Arabidopsis thaliana: one gene and its partner. The protein of the gene in region 2 interacts with the protein of the main gene of each other region in a pairwise test. Each region holds a gene or a part of one and is shown on either strand. Other genes may lie near its edges.

What was found.
Region 1: the proteins of DRP3A (region 2) and LSD1 interact in binary tests that used the Arabidopsis thaliana proteins (3 or more experiments, as listed by UniProt).

Annotation. Positions count from the first base shown.
Region 1 is NC_003075.7:11,002,741-11,007,335, forward strand, and holds LSD1 (LSD1 zinc finger family protein), read left to right. Parts: upstream 1-1,776; 5' UTR 1,777-1,974; intron 1,975-2,094; 5' UTR 2,095-2,156; exon of another isoform or gene 2,157-2,271; coding exon of another isoform or gene 2,272-2,286; coding exon 2,287-2,410; intron 2,411-2,499; coding exon 2,500-2,604; intron 2,605-2,689; coding exon 2,690-2,721; intron 2,722-2,816; coding exon 2,817-2,862; intron 2,863-3,093; coding exon 3,094-3,233; coding exon of another isoform or gene 3,234-3,254; exon of another isoform or gene 3,255-3,333; coding exon 3,334-3,405; intron 3,406-3,497; coding exon 3,498-3,569; intron 3,570-3,656; coding exon 3,657-3,698; 3' UTR 3,699-4,048; downstream 4,049-4,595. Other genes in the region: TSF (PEBP (phosphatidylethanolamine-binding protein) family protein), read right to left, coding at 25-225; AT4G20390 (Uncharacterized protein family (UPF0497)), read left to right, coding at 4,328-4,539.
Region 2 is NC_003075.7:16,159,227-16,166,842, reverse strand, and holds the start of DRP3A (dynamin-related protein 3A), read right to left. Parts: upstream 6,020-7,616; 5' UTR 5,771-6,019; coding exon 5,357-5,770; intron 5,272-5,356; coding exon 4,989-5,271; intron 4,897-4,988; coding exon 4,868-4,896; intron 4,773-4,867; coding exon 4,671-4,772; intron 4,372-4,670; coding exon 4,303-4,371; intron 4,216-4,302; coding exon 4,156-4,215; intron 3,867-4,155; coding exon 3,753-3,866; intron 3,366-3,752; coding exon 3,317-3,365; intron 3,219-3,316; coding exon 3,109-3,218; intron 2,809-3,108; coding exon 2,716-2,808; intron 2,577-2,715; coding exon 2,484-2,576; intron 2,416-2,483; coding exon 2,278-2,415; intron 2,086-2,277; coding exon 1,972-2,085; intron 1,884-1,971; coding exon 1,785-1,883; intron 1,643-1,784; coding exon 1,603-1,642; intron 1,425-1,602; coding exon 1,276-1,424; intron 1,188-1,275; coding exon 1,041-1,187; intron 817-1,040; coding exon 764-816; intron 680-763; coding exon 580-679; intron 430-579; and 2 more. Other genes in the region: AT4G33640 (costars family protein), read left to right, coding at 6,434-6,712, 6,910-7,116. UniProt on the Arabidopsis thaliana protein: Involved in the control of mitochondrial and peroxisomal division and morphology. In association with PEX11C, PEX11D, PEX11E and FIS1B, is involved in cell cycle-associated constitutive self-replication of preexisting peroxisomes.

The sequences.
Region 1 (4,595 bases), 5.2 Mb from region 2:
GAGGAATGAAGGAGAGAAGATCACCAAGGTGTAGAAATTTCTGAAGTCGTCTCCTCCAATCTCCACTATTGGTTTGTTCAGAACTTGAGAAGGCCTTAGATCCAAGCCATTAGTAACCTCTCTATGGCCATAAGTGACCTTAAGAGAGACCAACCTCGTGAAAGGATCAAGAACATCTCCAACAACACTGCCGACCACAAGAGGATCTCTACGACTTAAAGACATATTTATCTTGGATCTCAAGTATCTCAATCAAATGTTTTGCTTCTTACCTTATGAACCCTTACTTGCTATTCTTTATATAACGTTTTGGGAATTGCAATAATTAGCTATTTAGCTTTATTCTCTCCAATGAAATCATTACCAGGGTCTTTTCGTGTATAGTTTCGAGAATCTACAACTCGTTCAACGTACGTATATCACTTATAATTCATGTTTTTTTTTTCTTTCCTTTTTTCTAAATTTATAGTATTCTTATTCCAAAACCCACCAGTATAAAACAGAAATAATCATATTCCAAATTATACATCATCCACTTGTTTCTTGCTAGCCACTAGTATGTAATTTATTCTGACTTATCATTGTAACTTCATGAACTATTTAAAATAATGTCACAAGCATATAATATGCTGCATATTTGCGTACGTCACGCATTTTGCGTCACATGTCACTCATTTAAATAGTTAAGGACACTACATTACACCGATTATGTATGATGTTAATGCATTTTAGAATAACTCCTTCAACCTAAACCATCATATAAAAGTATATATGCTCCAGATAAATTGACGCCATAATTGTTCACATATCTGGTTGGTGTGTACATACGTACTAGACTCTTTTTTTTCTTTTCTTAATGTAGTACTAAACTTAATTAATACCATCAAAAATATCAATTTAACAAAACAAACCAGTAAAACTTTTAAAACAATGGAGTAAATCAAATAAAACAAGTAAATTAACAAATAGACACAAGGTAACAGAAGTATAATAACGACAGAAAAGTGAACAATTGGCCAAAAAATTCGTTTTCAAACGTGATTTCAAAATTGTCTCCAAATCTTAAATGTTGATAAAGTAATTTTTTTAAAATTCATTATACCTTTCAAAAACAAGTGTATTACCTAAAAGCTCAACCGTGTATTCTTACACTCCAAACAAATTTAGTTCCCCAAGTTTGGAAGACAAAAATTTCTAAGAAATTTCTGACAAAACACATGAGAAATAAACCGATAAAGACTTCTAAAAACTATTGCAGACCAGTTTCATTTGCTGACCACAAAAAGTCATGAGAATACAATTAGCTCAGTGATTCTTGATATTTCTGGTACCTAACAAAAAGAAAAGTGTGTGAGGTTAGATGGCTATGATTTTTGCTCTCCAATTTATTGTCCATTTCCCCAATTTGTAATATGAAATGCGCAAATTACTCTTCTTCCGATATGAATAAGCAAACGAAAACATACGTGGGACGTTATGTTCAGAACATTTGATTAAAGTTTATATGCGATTTTCATTTATTTATTATGAATTTTTTGTTTGGCAGCATGTACGATTTTTCATTTAACACACAAATATTATAGAATTTTCATTGGTTCAAAGGGGTAGACAAAAAATAATTTAATATTATTACACCATTTGCAGAAAATTAGAAAATATATTTTTACCCATAATTAATTGATCTATGGACGTATGCTTGGCATAAAAATTCATATTTAATTAGCAGAAGCCAATCGCTGCGTTTGTATATACGCGTTTATGACCGAGAAAAAAACCCTTACGCGTCATGTAAAAAAAAAAGAAGCGTAAATTACGAAAAACAGAGAGATAAATCCGGGCATTGAGATTTTGGAGATAGAGAGAGAGAAAAATCGAAATCTATTGTCTATCTCCTCAATTTGGATTGGATTTTCTGCATATCATCGCTCTAGCTTTCGCGGGTTTTGGATTCGATTCCTTACCCTTCTCCAATCGGTAAGAACAAGCTCCAAAGTTTGTTCCTTTTTTTCAATTTTCGCCAATTCTGTAATCTCATCATTGTCCTTGTTTGTTTGTTTGATTCAACACACAATTCTTGTTTTGATTTGGATGCAGAAGTTTTTGGCTTTGAATTGGATTTGGGTTTCGTTCCAAAATCAGCTCTTTTTGTTAATCAGGTGAGTTTTTAGGTATTTGAATCTCCAATTGCTTCCTTGCAATGACTAAGTATTGTGAAATGTTTAGGGTTTCATCTGTGTGGGTCTTGTTTTGAAGCAATTTGTGTGTGTTTGGATGAAAGTAGCAGATATGCAGGACCAGCTGGTGTGTCATGGTTGTAGGAATTTATTGATGTATCCTAGAGGAGCATCTAATGTGCGTTGTGCGTTATGTAACACTATCAACATGGTTCCTCCTCCTCCTCCACCTCACGGTATCGATTTCTTTGTTGAATTTGAATTGAGGATGAGGTTAATATGCTCTGCAATTGTATTATAACTTGGGTTCTGATTCTGAATACAGACATGGCACACATTATATGTGGTGGTTGTAGAACAATGCTTATGTATACGCGTGGGGCTAGTAGCGTAAGATGCTCTTGCTGTCAAACTACGAACCTTGTGCCAGGTATATTAATAATATCGTGACATCCATATCAATCCTTTTAAAGACCATGTATTATATTGCTTTATAAGGTCTTTTAGTCCTTTAGAATCTTCTTTCACACTTTTGTTTGATAACATTGTTCTGTGGAGATGATGCTTACGTAACGTATTTCCACTTTTCCCAAAGATGTATATGAATCTGAATTCTGAAAATATCTGGGATTTGTAAAGCAGCTGAAAGTACTTAAAACAAAGCTTTTAGATGGTCCCGGTGGACTAGGTAACTACTTGTTAGAGCTAGTAGGGTTTATTATTGTTTTGTTTGATCTACCATTAGATTCTTATCTTTAATTAGCGTCTAAGCTGTTGTCATTTAGCTGTATGATTATCATTTATCCATGACTGCTTAAGAACATTGCTGATTACTTCGTTCATTAGTATTTCTTGGATTTTTCTAGCATTAACATTGCTTGTTTTCTGAATCTGTGCGTGTCTTTTTTGAAATCGACAGCGCACTCCAATCAGGTTGCCCATGCTCCTTCCAGTCAGGTTGCGCAGATCAATTGTGGGCATTGTCGGACGACCCTCATGTATCCTTACGGTGCATCATCCGTCAAATGCGCTGTTTGTCAATTCGTAACTAACGTTAATGTGATTATTCCTATCTATTAAGCCACCTCTGCATGGTTGAGTTAAGTATAGAGATCTTTCTGTTGGAAATTTTCATTTCTGATTCATTTTGCATCCTTAGATGAGCAATGGAAGGGTACCTCTCCCAACTAACCGGCCAAATGGAACAGCTTGTCCCCCCTCTACATCAACTGTGAGTTATCAAATTATGAATTTGTAATAGTTCTGTATATTCTTATGGAACTGGTACTTACTCTGTTCATCGATTTTTCATTTTACCAACAGTCAACACCACCCTCTCAGACCCAAACCGTTGTTGTAGAAAACCCCATGTCCGTTGATGAAAGCGGAAAGTTGGTGAGTATTTCTATCACCTGTGTTCTTCTTCTTATTTACCACATTAGAGGAAGATATGACAAAGTGACTGAAACACACAAATTGCAGGTGAGCAATGTTGTTGTTGGAGTGACAACTGACAAAAAGTAATCAAGAATGAGTGAGATCTTAAAGATCAAATCCAAATTCTTCCTCTATTCCTGCGTTTGGTTTGTGCATATTACATACGCGGAAAAACTGTATGTTATATATCTCTTGACTCCTTTTTAACCCAAGAGAAAAAGCTTATCAGAATCTCTTGTTACTGCATTATTGGGGTTTATTCAAAGTTGAAGACACAAGGTTTTTGCTCGAATAATTTGGCATTCTTTTGCTCCATGGAACTTGACCTTCTCTTCTGTTTGTTGACTTCTAAAACTCCATCGGCCCTTGTGGCATTGTTAATGTATGTATGAATATAATCTGATACACCAACCAATCATTAAGATTTGGGTTTGAAATCTGTCTCTTCCGTGGATGAGATATGCTACATGTCACAAGAACTGGTCTTAGCTTTGGTAGATAAGACTTGTCTTAGAGCAAGTCTTGAAATCTGGAAATCTATTTTGCAGTAATCTTGTCACAACAACCATAACCTAATCAGTCAGTACCCTCCAAGAACATTAAAGTTAGATGATCCGACAAAACCTCTCAACAAGACCAAACTCTTTCCATATAAATACTCTTTAACACTGACACAAAGTTTCATCACTTTCTCTTGATCACTCACTGCATCAACAATGGCCAGAGAGAAGATTGTGGTGGCTGGTGGTACCACAAAGAGCTGGAAACTACTCTTGGGGCTGAGAATATTTGCATTCATGGCTACTTTAGCTGCAGCCATTGTAATGTCACTAAACAAAGAGACAAAGACCTTGGTTGTGGCCACCATTGGTACTGTTCCTATTAAAGCCACTTTAACCGCTAAGTTTCAGCACACACCGGCTTTTGTGTAAGCGAGTAAAACCCTATACGAAATCGATTCGATACATATTGAAAGCAAAATGT
Region 2 (7,616 bases):
AGGTGTTTGCTTCCCGTTATTGTTGCAGGGGGAGCATTTGAAACAAATTGGAAAAAAAAACTATATCACCTTTCACTCCCTTATCAAGTCAACCAATGCAGAGTCCAAAAGGACCAAAACCCACACTGTGTACTGGTTTCCTATATAAATTCTTCATATGACCAACACATAATTTAATACCAAAACCTGAAAGAGCCATTAAATGAATGAAATGCGTTATCACAGTCGAGAGATATTCGAGATATTTGGATCATGTTAGAATCCGTATCCATTTTGGTGTTGATCTCCTGCTCTTCTCGATCTTCTTGTCGTACTTGGAGATGCCGAGTATGAGCTGCTTGTCGAATACTTTGAAGATGTCAGTAACTCCTGATGTTTTGACATTCCTGCTGACACCGAATCTGCTTCCAGTGGCAACTCATCTAGTGTCTGTTTCACCCACAAAGACCACATGGTTACATGAATATCAAACATAAATTCTTCATAGAAACAGTTTTAAGTGAAAAGAAGACTTTATTGTTCAACGGAACAAGGTTTATGACGATTGATGTACAGAGTTAGGTTTTGCTGAGAACATACCCTGTAAGCTTGCTGAAGAACGTGGAGAGTCTCTTGTGTGCGTTTCCTCTTAACTGCTATCTCATCTGGCTCTTGCAACATTTCTTCAAACAAGTTCTCCCTGCACCAGATGAAACTACTAGTCAGTTTTAAGAGACTACTAATCCAAACACAGATGTGAGGAATTAAAAAACACAGGCATCACCTGTAAAGCTTCTTGATGAAGACGTTATGCAGCTCACGTTTTGTGTGGTTTACCTGAAGCATTAAAAAGAAAAGAAATGGTATCAGCATCTTCATTCTTCAGAGTTTATTTACTGTAAGATAGCAACAAGATTATTACACACAAGATGGACAAACGGCTTTTCATTTTAACTCTCTCAAAAGACAATTTCAAAGGGCAATCAAATATCAAGGTGATGATATATCGTACAAGTTTGAGATACTGCAAGAAACTTGGGGAAAGGGATGAGGGTACTTGCCAGGAAATGCATGATTGCTTTTGGTACCGAGTCCTCAATATTCTTCCTTACAATGTCATAGTATGATCTTAGTAACAGCTTTGTTATCTGAATCTCAACTGCTTCCTGTTCTGAATGGGTTTCGGTTGGCCTCAAGACAGCTGGGGGCTTCAGAAAAGCAAAGCAAACAGTATGAGTCAAATAGGTAAGCATGTATTGGCAATATGAATCATCTAAGATGGCACAGGAGACACACCTCCTTTAGATAGATCATGGATAAGTTGTGAGACATATCCTCAACAGCTTCACTGAATGGTTTGTTTAATAAGCTATCTTTAGTAACTGCTCTAGTATCACCCCCTCGGAAAATTGAAGGGATACCCCACCTTGTATCACTCGCATTTGCTATCATGTGTCAGCAAAACCACAATTAAAATCTACTCAGGATTATAAGCTATTAGCGAATCGAGACAAGATACATGTTTACGCAGTCTCTGAAACATAGCAAGAGATTCATCACACAGCCAAAAATCTTCCAAAACACGAAATGGAAGGCTAAAAATGACAGCGGTGAGAAAATTACCAGCAGGTTGAGCTTTTTCAGCATCTGCAGATACAACTCCCTATGAACAATCATGAGTTAAGTGTCAAATAGTCACTCTTTATCTTGAAAATGTCTAATTTGCTCATGGGTCCTTAGGGCTAAACCCATAGTGCACAATGATATACAGAATTAATTATATATAACATGTAAAATGACAATACCTGATCAGTAACAATTCCATTAGCTTGCCTGCCGAGAAACGATCTAGATTTCACTTGACTCGTGGAAGAAGATGTTCTATCAGGCTCCACAGTGTCCTGCTATATCAACTTAAATGTATAAGAAACACTGCAGAGTATATATGAAACCAAAACCAATTTTAATGTATTTGCTCAGAGTACTTCATACCTTTGGTCGTGCCACAGGATGGGGAATCCTCGAAGACTTCACTTGATGCATTGCAGCTTCCACGGCCTTGGTTCCACCAATAAAATTTGGATGTGAAGTGTTTATGTAATCCATCTGCAAACGACATTCAAGAAATTATGATACCATCACTAATACTTTAGTTCAAAGAAACTAATCAATCAAAAACGAGGAAATCACTGCTCAAGATTAAAAAAGGTCCCTAATCAACCAACATATTAGTCTGGGCTCTTTATACACAATAGAGAAACTCAACTCAACGTAGGATTTTCAATTCATTATACAGACCTCCATATCAATGATATCCCCGATCATTGCTTCTGAGGGTTCAAGACCTTCTCGCAGGAAATCCCCGATAACCTCATCCATGCGCTTTCGTAGGACTGGAAATCGTTGTAACTCATTCATCATACATCTATGGCTAATCTGTAGAGAAATTCAAATTTATGAAGTAATCTTATTACTTATTAACAACAAACCAAAAAAACACTCACCTTTATTAGCTCTTCAAAAATGAACCGGGCACACTGAAGGCTAGGATCTAACAAACGAGATATCTGCCTCCTAACAAGAACTTCAAATGGAACCTATGCATAATTGAACGAGATCAAGGGACTCTAATTAGATATCCTGGGAAGTGGAAAAGGCAAGGAAACATATGAATGCTTGAAAGCCCTGACAACCAGGATAACTTCCATATATGCTGAAACATGTTAAGAAACCTACATCTGGAACAAATAATGCAGATCTTGGACCAGTTGCATTCTGAATTGCAGTCCGAATATCATCATCTGTCAAGTCCTCGCATGGATCAACCTCCTGAAGAGGCAATGTGAAGGAATTCAATCAGTCTAAATTTACAGAGATCCACGAGCTCAACGTCAGAAATATACTACATTATTTCCATTTGGATAATGTCACTAGCTAAACTAAGATAAGATAGAGGAGCCAATGCTTAACAAAGCAGTGTAAAAGTTCTCTATCAATGTCAATGAAATGAACCGTAAACATCAGTGTACCATCCGAAAGTACGCAAAAGTATTGGCGAGGTTAAGAAACGGGAATGTATAACAACTGTTCAAGCTCAAGGAAAAAAGTTTAACGATTGCCCAAACGAACCTCCAAACTCTTAACAAAGATTGACTGGAAAATATAGTGAATTCTTGCTCCTCCAGAGAGCTCTGACGTAGACATTTCTTCACTTTTCCCTTCCAGCAATGAAGAGTATGCTGTTCAAAAAAATTTACCCATGAGACTCACTATGAACCATAGAAAACATAAAACAAATGTCAATGGTCTCAACTGAAATATCGTCTTCACATATTACCTTCACAGTATTTGGAGAGAAAGTTGAGGAGAAGAGCTCCTTGCCCAGCCTAAGAATTTCAAGGACAGTAAAGACCAATAGAATAAGATAAGTTTGACTAGTTAAAAATTGAAAAAGAAAAACAACTCATAGAGATGAAGCAAAAAAAAGTTAAAAAAGAAGTACCCATTGGCCAACAACCTTTCCCTACAAATAAGAACACCTTTAAATGCTAATTCTACGACTTAAAGATATTTTTTTTGTAGTCTAAAAACAAAAAGGCTTTACGAACCCTGAGCACATACATGAGAAAATAGTCTGGACGAGCAAAATTGTATTCAAATGAAAAGACTGAGCAAATCACACCATTAAATGGAACAAATGGCAATGTACCAAAGCCAATAACAAAACAATGAATTCGATAAATAGATGGCAAATTGAGCAGTAAAATACATACCCTTGATTCTGTTAATTCACCATAGCTCTGATGCTCTTTTGCTGTAGCAACCAAAGCATTACTTATCCGCGACTTCAAATCCGGAAGCAAGACCTTGATATGTTGAACAAGGATCTAAAAAAATGCAACAGAAAGGCCATCTTCTATCAGACATTTTCTAATATTAAAGTATCTTAAAGTCTGTAAACAAAAAAAGATATACATGCAAGGCCAAAAAAATAAGCTAGGGTAGAATCCGCACAGCCATGTAAGTAACCTTAAAAAGTGAATAATGCATTTAAACTCCACCATAATCCCATATTAGATATTTCAACATAGAGAAAGCGTCTCCCTTATGCCTTACTGAACAATGATTGACATAACGAAAAAAGGAACTCCCAATTCCCATAACTGCAGAAAATACCTGATTTAACTTCTTTGCTAGCTGAGGAACACCCAAACGATCGGCAAGACCATGGTAAACCTGTATAGGTACCAAAAAGACTCAGCTTTAATCAGAAAAAATAGCAAGAGTATCAGAAAGTGAATCAACAAAATGATGTTAGCATACCGGGTGACTCCGGAAGAACTTCTCCTCTGCGAGAAGTGCTTCCTTGACTGTGCGGTTTAGCAAAATATCCTGTTTATAAAATATAAAGATCAAAACACTGTAGATGCAGACGCCACAAAAAGTAGACAAAAAATAAAAATTCTGTCACAATAGCATCGAAGTGATAAAATTAGAATTAAAAAACAAGCACAGCCAAAGGTAGAATAATAAAAAAAAAAAAAAAAAAGAAGAGACAGCCTACTATATGATAGCAAGAGAATCATAAGAAAAATAAGTACAGAACAGAAGCAATAAAGCTCAAGTCACATAAAAGAAGAGCCACACTAAATAAATTAAAAAGCAATAGTTGTGAGCAACCACAGGTTTACCTCCTGGCAACGATTTACAACTCCCACGTATCCAAGTCGAAGAGGAACAACATTTCCAAGAAGGAGTTTTCGAGCATCAGTACCTTTGTCCATAATATCCAACTGAAAACATGATAATAACATATAGTAAATCACATGAAAGACAGGGACGCCTATGGTGATGAAATAAAACAAATGTCTGGACTGGGAATATGCACCTTTGTGATTACACCTATCGTTCTGTGACCTGGAGACAGTATAGATAGATGAAAGGGTGAAGATGAGTAATGTCAAATACAACCCATTAAACTAGTCATTGGACTTGTGAGTAGAACTTACCATCAGGATCTACAATGCTAGCAATTTGAAGGGCATCAGAGTTTGCTAGATCGGTATTAGCAGGGGTAACAGCCAATATCAAGCAAGTATCTTGCTTGATGTAAGACAAGATCATCGTTCTTATACGTGCTTCAATGTCGGATGGCTGGTCACCAACTGGCACCTTGGTAATACCAGGCAGATCCACAAGCGTGATGTTCAATACATTAGGTGAAGAAATTTTAAGACGAATCTGTGTATCTGCTACACCTTTGTTCTCTCCAACTAATCTATTCGTCTCAGCCTACAAAGATGTTGCATTTCATACATTAATACAAACTTGGAAGAGCAATAGAGTATCAAATAAAGCAAGGAAGGGAATAAAAAACCTCAATTTCTCGACGAATCTCAGAGAAATCATAGAAACGAGTTTCAGGAAGGTGACGAAACTCCCCCCACTCATCATCGGATCCGCCATTAGCGCGGCTTTTAGTCTGGAGGAGCTGGAGAACAAGAGGACGACGCGTGCAGATATCATTACCACGAGGGAGAAAGTCACGGCCGACGAGTGCTTCAAGGACGCTAGACTTGCCACTGCTTTGGCTTCCAACAACAACAACCTGAGGAAGCGCGATCGTAGACTGGCTTCCGAGCTGAGCGAATATGTCTTGTAGCTTGTTTACAATCGGAATCACAGAGGATCCCAACGGCGCGGCGTTGGTGGTGGAGGAAGACGGAGAAGGCGTAGAAGAAGAAGGAGGCGTAGACGGAGGAGTCTCACCGGAAACTTCTTCAATAGTCATCGTTGGATCGGATTTTGAATGAATCAAAGTTGCTAGGGTTTTGAAAAAATTAAGTTCGTGGAGAAGAGAAGACAACACTGGGAAGAAGAGAAGGTCAATTACTCGGGATTTTCGTGCTTAGCTCTATCTCTATCGAAGAGAGGAGGATCTTTTTATTAGAGTCGCTAAATAATTTTTACTTGCTCAAGAATTTTAAAAACGTGAAGAAGAAATTGAACTTTAATCACAACTTAACAAAATAATTCAAATTAATTTTATATTCACTTAACCTTTGTTAATTTATAATGATAACAACTAAATAATTTCACCTTAATCTCCATGGTCCAAAAGAAGCGAATAAACATTTTCATTTACCTAATTACATTAGTTTTTAATTTATAAAAACTTTTTTTCTTTCTAATATTAGCCTGTGCTTTTATTAATCAAATAAGTTTAGAAAAAATCTATAGATACAGTTTTAGTGAGGAACTGAAGTTCTGTTCTGTCTTTAAATATTCGTTGTTAACTTAAACGCAATCTTTTGCTATTTCATCAGTAATTTTTTGTATGGATAAACTAAAAGAAAAAAAAAATAGAGAAAAATCGAATGTTAAAATCGTGGTAAACCGGCTGATGTCGTATCATTTATTAAGGTCTCAAACCGGAGGTGTGTGTTAATTTTCAATGTTGAAGAAAAATCGGTACGATAAGGTTTTCAAACCGGTTAAGTGTGCGCATTTTGGTCTTTTCAACCGGATTAGGAGGGACAAGAATGAGTCCATCGAGCTGTCTTCGTCAGAAACAGAAAGAGTCTCTTCTTCAATCCAATCTTTTTACAACATTAGGCTGTTGAGACCTGAAATCTCTAAGGAAGAAGAAAGAATGAACGTAGACGAAGAGATTCAGAAACTGGAAGAAGAGATCCATCGTCTTGGTTCTCGTCAGACCGATGGCTCTTACAAGGTCTCTCTCTTTCTCCTCAAATCTTGTTGGATCTCCCTATATCTGGAATAAATCTGTATTATTTCATTTTCAATCAACAAATACTCTTATCTGAAGAATCAAGATCGTAACATTTACTCTTTTCTCTCGCTCAGATCTAACAAACACAGTTGATTGATTCTTGATCATGAGGATTGATTTGTTCCTTTTGAATACAGGTGACGTTTGGAGTGTTGTTCAATGACGATCGATGTGCCAACATCTTTGAAGCATTGGTTGGGACTCTGAGAGCTGCCAAGAAACGCAAAATAGTCGCATTTGAAGGTGAACTTTTGCTTCAAGGCGTTCACGATAAGGTTGAGATCACTCTCCGACCAACACCACCGCCACCGCAAGCTGCTGCTGCTACTGCAGCCTCCTCCTAAGTTCCCATTTCTGCTTTTAATCTTTATACTATTGAGTGTAATGAAATGATAAACTTGAAGATCAATGATTCCTTTGCTTCTCTATTGTCATGATCACATTGCTTGAGCTATATTTTTAAGTTGTTGCATGTAGTAACAAAGTCACTATTAACAAGAAAGATTTCTTCTCTTTTTCTGCCATATAAACTGAAAATACACAAAGGAAATACAACAACAGCTCTTACCACGTTTCTACCCAATATAGCAGCAATCTCAGAGAAACATACATTAATTTACATATATATATATATATATATATATATATATCTATAAACTTGTCAAGCTTTACAATCTAAGTTTCCTTTCTGATCAAAGACTCTCTGGCGTGTTAAATCTTCCCCCAATTTAGGTACCTTTATCCAAGCTCCAGAAGAAAAAGCGAGACCGTGGATCTCTATACTGGTCCAGAAAGACCTGAACTTGAAGTAATCTTATCTTAGGCACAACCGATCTCATGAATC